Linked DNA regions of Schizosaccharomyces pombe. The protein of the gene in region 4 binds, or shares a complex with, the protein of the main gene of each other region. Each region holds a gene or a part of one and is shown on either strand. Other genes may lie near its edges. The genes, in order: mrp51, nam9, mug178 and mrp5.

Evidence for each region.
Region 1: mrp5 (region 4) and mrp51 share a complex: the UniProt entries of both Schizosaccharomyces pombe proteins name them as parts of the mitochondrial small ribosomal subunit.
Region 2: mrp5 (region 4) and nam9 share a complex: the UniProt entries of both Schizosaccharomyces pombe proteins name them as parts of the mitochondrial small ribosomal subunit.
Region 3: mrp5 (region 4) and mug178 share a complex: the UniProt entries of both Schizosaccharomyces pombe proteins name them as parts of the mitochondrial small ribosomal subunit.

The regions. Positions count from the first base shown.
Region 1 is NC_003424.3:4,111,416-4,115,440, forward strand, and holds mrp51 (mitochondrial 37S ribosomal protein bS1m), read right to left. Parts: upstream 2,244-4,025; 5' UTR 2,182-2,243; coding exon 1,270-2,181; 3' UTR 555-1,269; downstream 1-554. Other genes in the region: bbc1 (SH3 domain-containing protein), read left to right, coding at 1-247; RecQ type DNA helicase Hrq1, read right to left, coding at 2,400-2,518, 2,694-4,025. UniProt on the Schizosaccharomyces pombe protein: Component of the mitochondrial ribosome (mitoribosome), a dedicated translation machinery responsible for the synthesis of mitochondrial genome-encoded proteins, including at least some of the essential transmembrane subunits of the mitochondrial respiratory chain.
Region 2 is NC_003423.3:3,727,660-3,730,948, forward strand, and holds nam9 (mitochondrial 37S ribosomal protein uS4m), read right to left. Parts: upstream 1,691-3,289; 5' UTR 1,630-1,690; coding exon 1,594-1,629; intron 1,541-1,593; coding exon 593-1,540; 3' UTR 536-592; downstream 1-535. Other genes in the region: rns1 (putative RNA-binding protein), read right to left, coding at 46-151, 218-409; mpg2 (mannose-1-phosphate guanyltransferase), read left to right, coding at 2,158-2,198, 2,262-2,301, 2,402-3,289. UniProt on the Schizosaccharomyces pombe protein: Component of the mitochondrial ribosome (mitoribosome), a dedicated translation machinery responsible for the synthesis of mitochondrial genome-encoded proteins, including at least some of the essential transmembrane subunits of the mitochondrial respiratory chain.
Region 3 is NC_003423.3:3,445,995-3,450,256, forward strand, and holds mug178 (mitochondrial 37S ribosomal protein bS1m), read right to left. Parts: upstream 2,231-4,262; 5' UTR 1,897-2,230; coding exon 1,219-1,896; 3' UTR 522-1,218; downstream 1-521. Other genes in the region: AP-2 adaptor complex subunit Apl1, read right to left, coding at 1-19, 57-265, 312-338; ade9 (trifunctional formate-tetrahydrofolate ligase/methenyltetrahydrofolate cyclohydrolase/methylenetetrahydrofolate dehydrogenase), read left to right, coding at 2,973-3,109, 3,377-4,262. UniProt on the Schizosaccharomyces pombe protein: Component of the mitochondrial ribosome (mitoribosome), a dedicated translation machinery responsible for the synthesis of mitochondrial genome-encoded proteins, including at least some of the essential transmembrane subunits of the mitochondrial respiratory chain.
Region 4 is NC_003424.3:2,283,920-2,287,904, reverse strand, and holds mrp5 (mitochondrial 37S ribosomal protein uS5m), read left to right. Parts: upstream 1-1,891; 5' UTR 1,892-2,111; coding exon 2,112-3,060; intron 3,061-3,187; coding exon 3,188-3,402; 3' UTR 3,403-3,423; downstream 3,424-3,985. Other genes in the region: SPOM_SPAC4G9.19 (DNAJB family protein), read right to left, coding at 1-528; rpl901 (60S ribosomal protein L9), read left to right, coding at 3,696-3,985. UniProt on the Schizosaccharomyces pombe protein: Component of the mitochondrial ribosome (mitoribosome), a dedicated translation machinery responsible for the synthesis of mitochondrial genome-encoded proteins, including at least some of the essential transmembrane subunits of the mitochondrial respiratory chain.

The DNA.
Region 1 (4,025 bases), 1.8 Mb from region 4:
ATTTGATAAGGCTAAATTTAGTGGACAAAAAGGTACTCTTCGTTCAAAATACTCTCTTGAAGTTGGTAAGCCCATGCATTATGGTATCATATCAGAGTGGGATGTTTCGAAACTGAAGATTAGGGTGTTGGAACAAGGCAGAGAGTCCAAGAAGGTTTCAGTTGCAAGCTACAAATTCGGTGATTTAAAGAGTGGAGAAGTTACTGTGTGGCGTGTAATGCGTCGATCTTGGCTTGGTTGGAATTAATGGTAATTATTTTACTATGGTTTTAAGTTCTTATCATTTTATCACAAATAACTCAAACTTCCTAAAGAGCAGCACTCATTTTTTTAAATTGTTCAATTGCGAAGCAGATTTGAATAGTCCTTAATGATCGTCTGTCAGTATATTCTTTCACTGATATATCTTTGACGATTGGGATTATTTATATCATTTTTTGACGACACGCCCTATGTTTTTAGAAGACTTATATCTCGTGGAAGTTGTTTGCTGAATTATATTCACATATATACCAAAGATTGGGCTATGTGATTCAACTTTTGAAATATATATACACATCTACAGTCATTTTTATAGTATATGCTAATAATCAGTTATATCTAATTAAACAGTTGAAATGCACAATTAACAATGTATGGTAAAAGGATAAGATTTTGTAAGTTATTGAACTGTACTTAAAGACAATTTCGGAAAAAAAAAATCCTTTACAAAATTCTAACTCTTTTTTCAAACGCTTGCGCTTATATAATCAACAAAAAACATTTATTTCGAGGTGAAACCGAAAATAACGGTTAACTGAAATATATACCTAGTCAAGATTAACGAGAGTGACTTTCACTAACACCCAGAGAACAAGGATGTAACATTGCAAACCAAACAAACTTCTTAGAAAACACATTCAGTTCAAGTGTTATGACTGTTCACCAAAATGAACAACCGTCAAGTGCAAAACGCAGTTTAGGGTAAACTAGTAAATAGGGAAACAAATGGAAAGTGTAAGAGTCATTTGAAGCAATAGACCCATTATTGGTACAAGAATTTGATGCCACACAAAGAGAAGTAAGAATAAATAGATTGAAAGATTTTTTAAAGGAGAATCGTATGTCGTTAAGATTATTGCTAGTGGTAGATTGTACTGTGGGATAACAACAGAATATAGGAGACTTAAACGAACCTTCTTAATAATAAAAATGATAGGTTGTTAAATGCAACTTAAAATCGAGTAAACCATAAGGAGATAGCATAAATGCACATGATCATAAAGTCCTCTACGAATTAGAGAGGTTATCTTTCTCTGAGGAATTAGCTTCATTATTTGAGGTTTGAGAGGGAGCCATAAAAAATTTCATAATACCCCGTTGATAGGATACGGGAGCATCGAGAGATGAATCTCTTTTGGCTACCAATTGAATATCTCTGTTAAAAAACGATTCAACCTCCGAGTCTTCCGAGGGATAGGCAAGATGTGTTTCTAACTCGGGACCGGAAAAGGGAACTAGTCGGAGTCGACCATTTTTATAGACTGTATAAGAAATGCGCTGTTCCTGGGAAAAGAGGGGAGATGACCGATTTCTATTAAAGACAACTGTTCGAGGTAGCCTCAGAATCAAGCCCCCTAAACCGTAGTATGCAGTAGAGGCATCTGAACTAATTATATGGGCCGTAAGTCGACGTCGAATATTGGAACAATTTGATTCACAATTAGGTGTTACTCGAGAATTAATTAAAGGAACATTACTGTATTGAATACCGCCAGAAACTCCGTAACGGCGAAAGTTATCATTTTCGTCGGATTGTTTAGAAGGAGAAAATACCTTATTTATGTCACGCGTATCTTTCAACCCCGTTTCTTTCAATAATTCTTGCAACAAAGCAACTTCAGAAGGATCTCGTACAAATCCAGCATCAAACCAATTGCGAACTAGACGAACAAATTTAGCGCTTGATTGAAAATCTGCTTGCTTGTATAAGGAATCTTGCTGCCGCACACATATGTATCTTGTCTTTATTTTTGGAAGAGTCCTTTTCAGTCCCCAATCACCACGAGCTCTACTATTTTTTTTTGAAGTTATGGATTGCAATCGAGGAAACCGAAGGTGTGATGTTGAATAATTGGATTCTGGAAGACATTTTGGAGAAGCCATTGCCCTCGAGCCACGGAGAATTTGTGCAAAACTCATATTTTTACAAAAATTCAAGATTTATATTGGGACTTGGCTTCTATGAGGAGAACGGTGGCTGTACGGTAGTAAGCACTGAGCGCTGTCAGTATCTAACATTGACTCCGGTAAGTTAGGGTAGGGTTTAAATGTAAAATCAAAAAGCACAACGCAATATTAGTAGTACTAACTAATAATTTAGTCTAATATAAACAAAATAAAAAAAATAAATTCAATTATTAACAAGAAGGTATTAAAGTTCGCAAAGCGTGATATGAATCAATCTCTGGTCCATCAGCATATATATCTAAATTTACATGTTGACACAGTAGCATTTTCAATAAGATTAAAGCGCCAACTGAAAGAAATATGTTAGTAGAAGTAATGTGAATAATCTATTTAAGTTTGCAAGCAATCCCTTTTCATTTGATCATAAAAAAAATGAGAGTGTTATCTTACAAACTACTAAGCGACCAATCTATACGGGATTGCTTCACCGTCCAACAAAAAATGCAAAGTATATCTATACTTACCCTTGTCAAGTACTTCTCCAGAGCAAACTCCGCCTTCAAATTTTGAACTCGTAATACATCCGGGACAACCTTCACGAACTTTGCAATCGCAACTCTCAATTCGCTCAATGGCCATTGTAATTAATTCATCAGTATGTTCATATGCCTTGTTGCATAAACCAGCACCAGATGAATCACCACAATTATCATAGAAAATGAGTCGGGAAGGACGTCTTCGCTCGCTTTTAGCCTCTTTATACTCCTTTTCACCCGCTTTACATTCTGTTCGAATATCGTTACCGCTGTTACTAATAAAAATTGGCATCAACGAAAGTAAAGCATGTTGGGCAGCATGTATACTAGCGGCTCCATTTATTTTTTTTAATGACAAAACCTCAATGATATGCCAAGGTACATCTATCCAGAAACCTCGACTATCAATTTCAACAGGATGATCGGTAATATCTACCACGTCCAGAATATCTTTCTGCTTGTTAACTTTGAAATACCCAAATACATGTAATGTTGCTTTAACAGCCCCAAAATAAATGTTTGTACTTCCATGCATAGTCTTCTTCATTAAGCTGCGAACAGGATCAACATCTGTGAAATCTCTTTGCAATGTTGACCATTCAACATCAACTTGATGAGCAGTAATAATTCTCTTGTTAATATTTAGGAGCCTAATGATAAACGTTTTTCCTTGATAAACATAAACTGCACCTTCGTAAGCAGTTAATGCAACACGAAAAGGTTCGAGGAGTTCTAGAATAACATTCTTATCATTTGTGACATCGACGAGAGTAAACATGTCTTCACTAACGCTTCGTATCCGTACCTGCGAGGCAGGAAAAGGAAGATATTTTGGATGAGGCCGATAACTCTCTTCAACCATTTCTAAATTTGCTTCGCAAATGTCTTGAATTTGATTTCCAAAAAACTTTTCGTCGCTCCTTATGTTAATGGGAAGCTCATATGCAGCACACTGAAGATGACTCGCTAGTAATACCTCATTTGTCAAGTCTAAAGTGAGTTCAGCATTTGGTTGAGTGTGAATCAAAATAGGATGCTTTAAATAAAACTGATCAACGGGAAATGTCTCAACTATATATACTGCTAAGGAAGACTTATTCCTTCTACCAGCACGACCAAATTGCTGGCGCAAGTTAGACAAAGAATATGGAAATCCTATGGTTATAACGGCATCCAGTGATCCTATATCAATACCTAGCTCTAAAGCATTCGTCGCAATAATCCCATATAATTTCCCGTTAAACATTTCACTCTCTATCTTCCTGCGTTCCTGAACCGTATACCCAGCCCTATACGATTGAATCTTAGATAAAAGATCTC
Region 2 (3,289 bases), on a different chromosome or scaffold from region 4:
GCAAAGTTAGTGGGTGTAATTCATAAAAAATAAAAGCTCACTCACATTTTTTATAAATTGGCATGAAAATATGATCAATTAGTCCATAAATCCCAAATATTTCTGCTATATGTTCTTTAGTGACATTACGCGTCAAATTTTCCACAAGAATCTATTTTGCATCGTATTAGAAACGATTAGTATGCCTTAAATAACTAATTATACATGGAAAACGTACTGTTCGCAATGGTTCTTCTGGAGATCTGGAAAGCGAACTCGAGTAAGATCTATTCGAGGAAAAAGAATCACGACTACTAGACCGATGTGAGAAATTGGAAGAACGCGACGCTGAACGTCCAGATGGAGATCGGGTATTGTTAAATTGTCTTGTTGAGCTACGTCCACGATAAAAGGCCTCCTTTTGGTACATGAAAAAAGATGTGCCAGTTCTTGTATGTGTATAAGATTTGGTTACGTGGATAGCAGTAGACAGGGCAGTTACTTCATAGAGCAGGAAAACAAAAGTGGAAATCAACATAGTATTACAAAAAGCATAATTGAGAATGTTTTATATTTTATTACTAAACTTTTGAGAGGAGTTCATTTATTCGATTTATACGAGTTTCGTCAACTTTCCTTGACGAACTGGATACCGATGAGAGAATGCTTCTTTGGGAGAAACATTTCGTTTTTTATATAATTCAGGAGGTCCTTGATAAAATGATGCATCGCGTACTTTCTGCGGAATAAGCCGTCTGGCCTGACATCTAGCTGCTCCTTGCCGCATATTACGACTTCTGATATAGTATGTATAGGCTAAAGCGTGCAAGTCTTCAGGAAATGGAGAAGGAACTTCCGTTAAGCCAGGACGAGCAACTGGATCACGCACATAAACAAAGGAACAAGTGCGGAAGCAAACTTCTAAATAAGCAGGGATAAATGCCATTAGTGACATAAACGGTTTAGGAACAAAGTTGGAAATTGTTTCATTGATAGAGGGCAACTTTCCATTAGAAGTCTGTTCAAATAAATCATCATCATTATCCTTTTTTTTTTCATTTTCTCCATCCTTAGAGGACACCTGTTCAGTTTGCTTCCCATCCTGTATAGAAGGGGTATTGTTACTAGAGGCAGAAACACAATTCATTACTGATTTTTGATCAACAGTTACTAAATCACCAGGTAAGAGTTGACGATAGGCACGGCGTTCAGGTTTTCCGTTTACGTGCACTTTTCCATGAAGCACCAGTTGGCGAGCCTGTAAAGCGCTAGACGCAAATAACGCTCGATGAATAGACATGTCTAAACGGGATTCCAAAAATGCATAAGTCTGATTCATAAAAGGGATGGGAAGCTTATTATCTAAGGAAGAAATAACCCCCTCCAATTTTGGGCGGAAGGCATTTTTCAGTTGATATTCGCGTAATTGAGGACCATGATAAGACCTTGTTTCCTTCTTCGCATTCCATTTTTTTTGATATAAAGTTCTATTATTCAGAGCAGGTAGTTGTTTTCTTGCAATGTTGTATATATTGTATTTGTTCCACGACGGACGCAAAAGCTAGATATGTATTAATAAAAGCGAAAAAATCAATAATTTCATATATAACATACACCGCGCTTTAAAGAGAACCTAAATTTCCCCTTCATGAGCAATTAAGTCTTTGTCACGAGAGTCCAATCTTCCAGCGTAGTGCGTGAAGTTGATGGTAAATTCATAAAGGTGATTAAAGAGAACAAATTTTTAAAAAGGCTACTTTTACTCGAAAATTCAATTAGTAAATTTTATTTATTTAAGTTTTAATGCATTATAATTTGTACCAAAGCTAGAAGGTGCTTTACTATTTTCTGCAAAACAGCTGATGATGAGCATTAAGTTCCTCACGGCTGGCAAAGTGCCTCAGCCTGCAGCACAATTTTTAGATCATGGGTTTTTGAACTAAATTGATTTACATTAGTATTTCATTGTTACATAGAGTATTATCTTCTGCAGCCAGGCTATTAAGTGCAAATATGAACTGGCAGAAGTTAGCTCATAGCGCTACCTTCCTTATTAAACAAAGGAGAGCTGGACAGGACTTGCACAGAACCACACACCAAGTTTCAAGAGGCGTATATCTCTTTCGTTTTTGGTGATTTTGATACTCATTATTGATTTTTTAGTATTAAATTGCTATTATGATTTCCTCTGCTGTCATTCTGGTCGGGGGTCCATCTCGGTACGTACCAACGAAAAATAAGTCTATTAAACGCGTGAATATCAGTAACTAATTACTTTGCAGTGGTACCCGATTCCGCCCTCTTTCGTTTGATGTCCCTAAAGTACGTCTTATTTAGAATTTATATGTTGGTAAAATACGTAATCCAGTTTTACTTTCTAGTTGCATTTGAAACATAAGAGCTATTTTGCTAACTAAATTAGCCTTTGTTTAAAATTGGAGGACGAGAAATGATTTACCATCATTTGGCGGCTTTATCCAAGATTGAAAGTGTTAAAGATGTCTTTTTGGTTGGTTTCTACGATGAAAGCGTTTTCAAAGATTTTATCAACGAAGTAGCTTCGCATTTCCCCAGTTTCAATCGTATCAAGTATCTCCGTGAATACAACTGCTTAGGAACTGGTGGCGGCTTATACCATTTCCGTGATCAAATCCTTAAAGGACATACTTCTAATGTTTTTGTTATGCATGCGGATGTGTGTTGCAGTTTTCCCTTACAAGAATTGTTAAACGTTCATCACGAGAAGAAAGCTTTAGTTACTTTAATGGCTACTAAGGTTAGTAAAGAAGATGCTTCTAACTTCGGTTGCCTTGTAGAGGAACCAAGTACTGGGCGTGTACTTCATTATGTTGATAAGCCAAGCTCCTATCTTTCAAATATTATTTCATGTGGTATTTATATCTTTGATGCCTCTATATTCGATGAAATCAAAAAAGCGTACGAGCGTAGACTTGAGGAGGTCGAGAAGCAACTCAGGTCCTTGGATGAAGGAATGGAAGACTACCTCAGTTTGGAGACCGATGTGCTTGCTCCATTGTGCTCAGATTCCTCTAAAGCCATTTATGCTTATAATACTCCTGAGTTCTGGCGTCAAATAAAAACCGCTGGCTCTGCTGTTCCTGCTAATTCCTTGTATTTACAAAAGGCATATCATGATGGTACTCTTCCAAAACCCGACACTGAGGCTGAGATCATTCAGCCGGTTTTTATTCATCCTAATGCTATTGTTAGCAAAGGTGCAAAGATTGGACCCAATGTTTCAATTGGTGCTCGTGTTCGCATCGAGGATGGCGCACGTATTCGAAACTCA
Region 3 (4,262 bases), on a different chromosome or scaffold from region 4:
CGCCTCTGTGGGTTTCACGCTGTCAATTAGTAAAAAATAAAGAAACTTTTACAAACCTCGCGTAAATTTTCAAGTACAAATAGCATAGTTTTTTTAATTCTAGATTATTAGATTCCATAGAAGATATCACCGATGGAAACAGTGAACTCATATCATATCCATAAGATATGCCTGCAATTGCTTTCTTTAAAGCAGAAATTCGTTTGTTTGCAGATTTGTCCTTATTATCTGAGCTGAAGACTGCTAGCAAATCAGCAGCGGTAGACTTTTGTTTAAGTTAGTAATTCCGAATTTTATGAAAGTTAAATTACCGAAAAATGACTTGAACTACTCGACATTATAACAACATGCTATGTACGTGTTAACATTCAAAATGTATTGTGGTATAATACTGAGTGTTATTGTACAAAGCAAAATAACGAGTTACAGTAAAATGCTTGAATAAAAGATTGTACGAAGAAAAGAAAAATAATGATTGCTAATAAAACACGATTTTATCTCTTAGTAGGTACTAGAGTAACTGGGTAATTAAGAAGCAAATTCAAAAGACGTTTACAAAGTTTATCGGATTTACAATTTAATACACTGTCGGGAAGCGTTGATTGATATAAGCTTATTAATTTATTTATGCAAATTTTTTAGCACGTGCGTACATAATATAAACCAAACAGAGTTCAATATAAACGGACACCCTTAGGAACATCGTAGGTTTCCAGTAATGCGATACGGCCATAACGAAAATTACAAGAACCAAAATAAGTTAAAATCACTCAAAAAACAAACAATAAAAATTCAATCTTTTTTAAACAAGAATGGTGGGAATAATAAACAAGCTTGTTGACAATATTATTTCCTAGAAAAAGTAATAGGTGTATAGAATCTCTCCATGAACAAAAAGAGGGAGAAAAAAGCGGTTCACTACAATGCAAAATAACGGTTAAAAATATTTAATGATCTTAAAGGCATATCATGATAGCTCAAGGAGAAAGTAGTCCGTGCAATTAATTTCCCTAACTCAAAAACTCAGGATCGTAAGCAGATGAAATAAATGTTAAATATGGATGGATCTTCATAATAGACGATTATCAACAGACGAAAACAATATTAAGAAACAATTCCTTGAAAGAAAAGCTATTGTTTTAAGAAAACCGAAGTGACTCACGGGAGAAATAATCGTTTTACTGTTTTTTATTGTCAATGTCAACTTGTATTATGGTATTAAATACTCCTATTTTCTCGTGTGATATTTGGAATGGTTTTACCGGTTTCATCGACATTAAGAGATCGAATTACGTATCGATTTTTTGTTGAAGTAATTCCTTTGAGAGAAGTAGCAGCTATAACTCCTGAGACACCAAATAAACATTCTTTAGAGTCGGGTGCAAATTTTCCGTAAGTAAATGGTAACGGGACTTTTTTAGTTTGAATAAAGGATACTAAACTTAGGCGCTTCTTTTCAGAATCAGAAAAAGAATCTAAAAGTTTCAATTTGGCGTATAATATACCTGGTGGAAGTGTAGGTCTGGATTTAGGATTTGAGCTTGAGAAAGTGTTGTATTTCTGTAAAAGGTAAGGGGAAATTTGTTCATAATCATTAAGCGGAACAGGGAGCTTAAGGTCGTAAATTCGTTTCAAGGTGCGTACGAATCTGTCACTGCTGATGAAGGCACACTGATGCTCGAATGTGTCAAACTTTTGTATGGAAATATGACGGTTTTTTAGGATCGGTAACTTCCTCTTAGCTCCCCAATCGCCGCGAAATCTTTGGCATTTCTTCGCAGTAATTGCTTGTAGGATGGGAATCTTCGTATCATAGACATCAGGGGAGTTCCTCGGCAAGTCTGGTCTTGCTAAACTAACTGCTCGGGAGCATCTCAACAAATCAGGAAACTTCATTATAATTTTGATTAAAGATATACTTTGTCAGAAACATCCAAATTCTGCCCAATGTAAACCACCACCGAAAAGTAACTGCTGAACGAAAGTGGGTACTTCTAATGAGTCAATATTGTCAATATCAATAGCAATCACTCAGAAAACACACGAATACGACTGTAATTTTTTGATGCCAGCTATTTATATACTTTTGTCGTGCAATCCAGCTTGCGAAGTGTTTTACATCAAGTGTGCACACTCATGAAAAGTATATACGAGATGAAATTCTCTCTATTAATATACAAAATTATGGCCAATGTTACAATAGCTAGTTTGAAGTTATAGAATCGCTTTCGTTAGGAGGTCATGTCGGCATGTTGTGTAGTAAACGTTCACTCTCCTCAAGTAGCAATGTTACTTGACTCGCACACTGTTGGATAGAGAAACAGAGTGCTTTAATTGTTTACACTCGAGTAAACCATGACTGAGTACGATTTTAGCTTGTACTTATTAAATTTAACGGGAATTTTTTTTATAATTATAAATTAGTAATACTAAAGGTATGGCTATCATAAGAAAAGTGAAACTTATAAAGGTTAACTTTCGGTAAATTTGTGTGTTCTTCCTTGTTCATTAATGAGTTTATCTCTACTAAACTAAACTATATGATTTTTCTAGTCTAAGTTTATTTACTGATAATTAATGAGTTGCTTGTCAGATCGTTTGTTGTTTATATTTGTCTATTATATTTGATCTTGAGATTCTGTATATCATGTAACAGATTTTTAAACTTTTTCTTTGACTATTTGTGTGCTTATTAGCTATCTCAAAGGCTTAGGTATATTATTACTTGTTCAATACATTATGATTTGCAATAATGCAATTGTTCCAGTCACTATTCGAGCTTGAAGAATAAATTATACGAGAATGAATACATTGCTTTAATACAATCGCTATTAAAATGTTTCGGTTCATATTCTACTGTAAGCGTATTATTCAACATAGATTACCTGACTACCAATAAAAATTTTGCTTTAACACACCACCAGAGGACAGGCAGGTTCCCTTACTACCCTACCACTTCTGGGTGTCTTTCTATGAACGTAATGGTTTCGTTTAATCAATTACGAAACTATTTTCTAGAAAGCAACAGCTTACGGCCATCGAAATGGCTTTTTCAGTCGTATGGTACTTCAAGTTCTGCGAATATCCTAAATGGAAAATTATTGGCAAGGTAAGATAAAGTTTATATTCTAAATTTTCTCTATGCAGATGAGCGTGCATTTCTGTGTTTGTCTTTGACGATAAAATTTTGGTGGTTTGAAAATTGATTTGCGTACATTGCTTAATTCCGTATATTCTTCAATTTTTTTGTCGATACTTAGAAGTTAAAAAATTGTATTGGGCATTGCAGCACGTTTGAGGTTTCATCAGATTTTTTTGCTCTTAAAACTTTATATTTTTATTTCTCTTTGAGGTTACTAATGTAGCGACTAATTAGAAAATTACAACGTTCTGTTGCTGAAGAAGTGCAGGCCTTGAAAGCTAAGGATCGAAACTTTAAGCCGGCGCTTGCCATTGTACAGGTTGGAAAACGTGAGGATTCTAACGTGTACGTTCGAATGAAAGAAAAGGCGGCACGATTAGTTGGTATTGATTTTAAATACTGCCCGTTTCCTGAAACAATCCAAATGCCTGCCTTGCTTCATGAATTAAAAAAATTGAATGACGATCATACGGTTCACGGTGTCCTTGTCCAACTTCCTCTTCCCAAGCATCTCAATGAGCGTACAGTTACTGAATCTATCACTCCGCCGAAAGACGTTGATGGATTTGGTGCATTTAACATTGGTTTATTGGCAAAGAATGATGCTACCCCCATTCATTATCCCTGTACCCCGAAAGGTATTATGGAGTTATTAAAAGATAACAAGATTTCAGTCGCTGGATTGAACGCTGTAGTTCTGGGAAGAAGTGACATTGTCGGAAATCCAATTAGCTACTTGTTGAGAAAGGACAATGCTACAGTAACTGTCTGTCATTCTAAAACTAAAGATTTAATTCAGCACATTTCTAATGCTGATTTGGTTATAGCAGCATTAGGCAAACCCGAATTTGTTCGTGGTGAATGGTTGAAACCAGGATCTGTTGTGGTAGATGTTGGCATAAACGCTGTTCAAAGAAATGGAAAACGCGTTTTGGTTGGCGATGTGCATTTCGAATCTGCATCCAAAGTTGCTAGCAGCATTACTCCTGTCCCTGGAGGCGTCGGACCGATGACTGTTGCTATGCTAATGGAAAATATTGTAAACGCTGCCAAGATAGCTAGAACAGAAAACATTTATCGAAAAATTGACTTAAATCCTTTAGAGTTAAAGAAGCCTGTT
Region 4 (3,985 bases):
AAGCATGCCTTCATCGTCAAATTTTCTGTTTTTATTAGAAGCATTTTGGTCATTCATATAATCATAGGAATTGTAGTAGTATTCTTCCCAAGACCCCATACCAGCAGAACGACGAGATCTTGAATAGGTAGGATACCTCGCTTGAGACCAATTTTGAGGCGAGGGATGTGTAGGATGAGACGGCTGATTCCAGTGAATTCCAAATCTATCGTATTCCTCACGACGTCTCTTATCAGATAGTAAAGCGTTGGCTGCCAGCAATAAACGAAAGTACTCTTCGTTGTGCTTATTAATTTCTGGCGGAGATTCCGTAGGCGCTAGCTGAGATGCATTCTTCATTTTGTCAGGATGATGCTTCTTAACCAGCTCAATATATTTTCGTTTAATGTCATTAGCCGTACACGTACGAGGTAGTTCCAAAATTTCATAAGGCGTCAATGACTTCAATTCGGAATAGGAAGTAAAACTGGCTGCTCGCCTCCATAAGCTATTTCGCACAAGATTTAACCGAAAAAATATCTTTGACATGTTCAAAACTTGTTCCAACAGAGGCGACGTTAGTTTCTGGATACGATGGAAGCTTTTATGTAGTTAATATTCAACTGAGTAAGATATCAATGTTGCTTCATTGAATGCAAACCGGCTGATCGAGCGCTGCTTTTTTTAAAGTAAAAACCGCAAGATACTCTGGTTCTATATAGTTTTAAAGCTGGATATGTAAAAGGAAGCTGGTTTGGTAAATATTTCAAGAGTTGGTACCATATCCGTCTGCTATCCCTATTTCGTGCCCTTGCTATACTACGTGGGCGAATCGCAGAGTTGTTGAGCTGCACCAACGAATGAGAAGGAAACGCAGGAAAATGTAAAGATTTAGAGTAATGGTATTTAGTAATAACAAACTTATTTTTATTTTAATATTCTTTTAAGAAAATACAAAATTTAATCGCAAACGAATTGAAATATTTTGGAAATTCTTTTTTATTGCCTTTCAAGGACGCCTTTCCTTCGTTAAAGACGCATCATTCTTTTATCGATAGATTTGAAAAAGAAGATCTTTAGTTTCAATCGTACAACACAATTCTTGCTACACGGTGTTTTTTGTTTGTTTGCATTTCGCGTTTCTTTGACCTACAACGTTGAATAGCGTCGCATTGGTGACTTACCTTGGAAATACGTTATTTATTTTCCGTTCGTAATTCTCAAAATTACAGGTTTGCCGTGGATTAAAAGATAATTTGGTCCACGCTTGCTCTTTAACTATCTTGATTGCCCTAATTGTTGTTTCTTTTAAAAAATTTCTAGAATCTTAAGTACTAAAAAAATTTGCCGAAGAGTAATTTTGAGGATAATATGGAAGTGACTATTATTTTGCTTTATTTAAAAGATTCTTTTTTTTCTCTTTTGCCTATCATGTATCCTTTTAATCATATAGTTAGGTTGAAATCAGTGATCTTTTCAATTCATTTCTTCCATGTACAATTTCAGCCGCCGCTTGTTTACAAATATAATGAGCTATTTCAAATTGTTCATTGCATCGCTAACTACGTATATTTGCTTGTAGTTCGTGCACCGTATTCATATTTATGAAGTCGAATGTACTACATTAAATGGGTGCCTTAGAAGCGTTCTTTGTAAACGGAGGATGATGAAAGGAAATCAAGAGAGAGAACTCAGAAAAAAAGGAGTTGTTAACCAGACGATAAATCAGAATTACAAGACGAGCTGATCCTAGAAAGTGATGTGCGGTTTTATGTACTTTGTCCATACCACTACTAAATAGGAACAGTAGCGAATCGTACCGAAGCGCCCTAACTACAACCAATGCCAAAGTGGTAAGTAGTTTCACGGCTGAGACAGTTATAAATTTATTTGTGCGATTCAAAAAGCATTTAAACTCATCGATAGCATTTTTTTTTGACTGAGTATCTCTTAGGGTTTTCCTCCCGTCTTTATAGCGTTAGTGACACCCTTGGTTGCAAAGTGCAATAAATATATAGGTGGTTCGGCTTTTATAAAGCGATTCCAGGAAATATTCTTACTTTCACTGCTAAGGTTCACTAAAAATTCATGATCATAACTTAAAAAATAATTTTTTTATTGATTTAATTACGATGTTACGCTCATTTTCACATTTTCTACAAATTGGCTCGAGGCGGCAGCCAACTTATTTTCGGTGTTTCCATAAAACTACCGTACATCTTAACTCTTTTAAGAATGATCCCAAAAAGGAATTAAATTCCAATTTAAACGAAAAATCCGTAGAGGAATCATCCAAGAATGAAACCAAGGAACAATTTAACTCATCGTCTATACCAAGAGAGAGTGAATCTGAAGGTAAAACTGCGTCAAATACTTCCCCATTATCACCAAAAAAGGTAGAAAATCTCAGCAAGCTTTTTAACGACATTAATGAAGATGTTTCTATCGAAGAGTTAAAGTCTCGTTTCAAAGATCACCTTCCTTTCTATGAAAACTACATTCGTAATCATCCTCTAGCCATTGAAGCACTCCAAAAGTCTACAGCACCACGTCAAACTGGTTTGAAATTGAACTATGTATCAAAATTGGATAAATATGTCACTCCTTTAGATGGATATTCTCATTTAGGATCGGAGGAGTCTAACGGGGAAATTCCTGATAAGTGGGAGGATTTTAAAGATGACCTCACGTTTGAAATTTCTTCAAAGTTTTCCCCATTTGATTTTGGCGATGCTGGTAAGAGCACAAGTGACGCTGAGTTTCTCTCGGATATTAGTGGAATCCCAAAGTCAGATCTCAGAGCCTTAATGTTCGTTCCCCTTGTAAGAAGACGTGTTGTTAATCAAACCCGTAAGGGAAAAATTGCCAGTATGTACGTACTGACTGTTGTCGGTAATCGAAATGGTGTTGCTGGTTTTGGTGAGGGAAAAGCCGAAAGCTATTCATTAGCATACAAACAATCATGTGGACGTGCTGTTAAAAATATGGTTTACATACCTCGCTACGATAAAAGGACTGTATATGGCGTTATTCATAAAAAATTTCATGCTGTCCGGTTAACATTACGATCTCGTCCAGCCGGTATGTTGTTCATTTGTTCTATAAATAATCTTTTAAAAGCTTAGACAGTTCTGTTTTCTGTTTATCGATTAGTTTTATTCGACATGTTTACTTGTCCTGCAATGACAATTTTACTAACTAAATATAGGTTTTGGACTTCGATGCAACCCCATCCTTCATGAGATCTGTAGATGCGCAGGTATAAAGGATATTAGTGGTGAGATACTTGGTTCTAAGAATGGAATGAATACTGTAAAGGCGATGTTTGAGGCTTTACAAAGTCAACGTCTCCCTGAGGATATTGCCATGGAGCGCGGCCAAAAGTTTGTTGATGTACAACGCGAGTATTACAAACAAACATGATAAAGTGACTTTTATTTTTTGTATAGATAAATATTCAATGCAGTCAGTACTCTAATTCTTTACTTCTGGAAACCATTGTGCAGCTTTGTTGTGCAAGATATTCATCTACATCCAATTTGTATCATTATTTCTTTAAACATCGTACATCATTAAAGTCTGAATAAGCTCGTTAATTATAACGTACTACAAAACTCCTATCACTCAACCCTACCCTAGCTAAGAAGTACAGTCACAGGCCTTCGAAACGGAAATTATCTTAGACAAAATTAACGACACCACCAACACTTTGCAGGATGGGACGTGATATATACAAGGACGAGACTTTGACAATCCCCAAGGGTGTTACTGTTGACATTAAGGCACGTAATGTTACAGTTACCGGTCCTCGTGGTACTCTCAAGCAAAACTTGCGCCATGTTGATATTGAAATGAAGAAGCAAGGCAATACTATTAAGTTCATTGTCTGGCACGGATCTCGCAAACATAATGCTTGCATCCGTTCCGTCTATTCTATCATTAACAACATGATTATCGGTGTCACCCAAGGTTTCCGCTACAAAATGCGTCTTGTCTATGCACATTT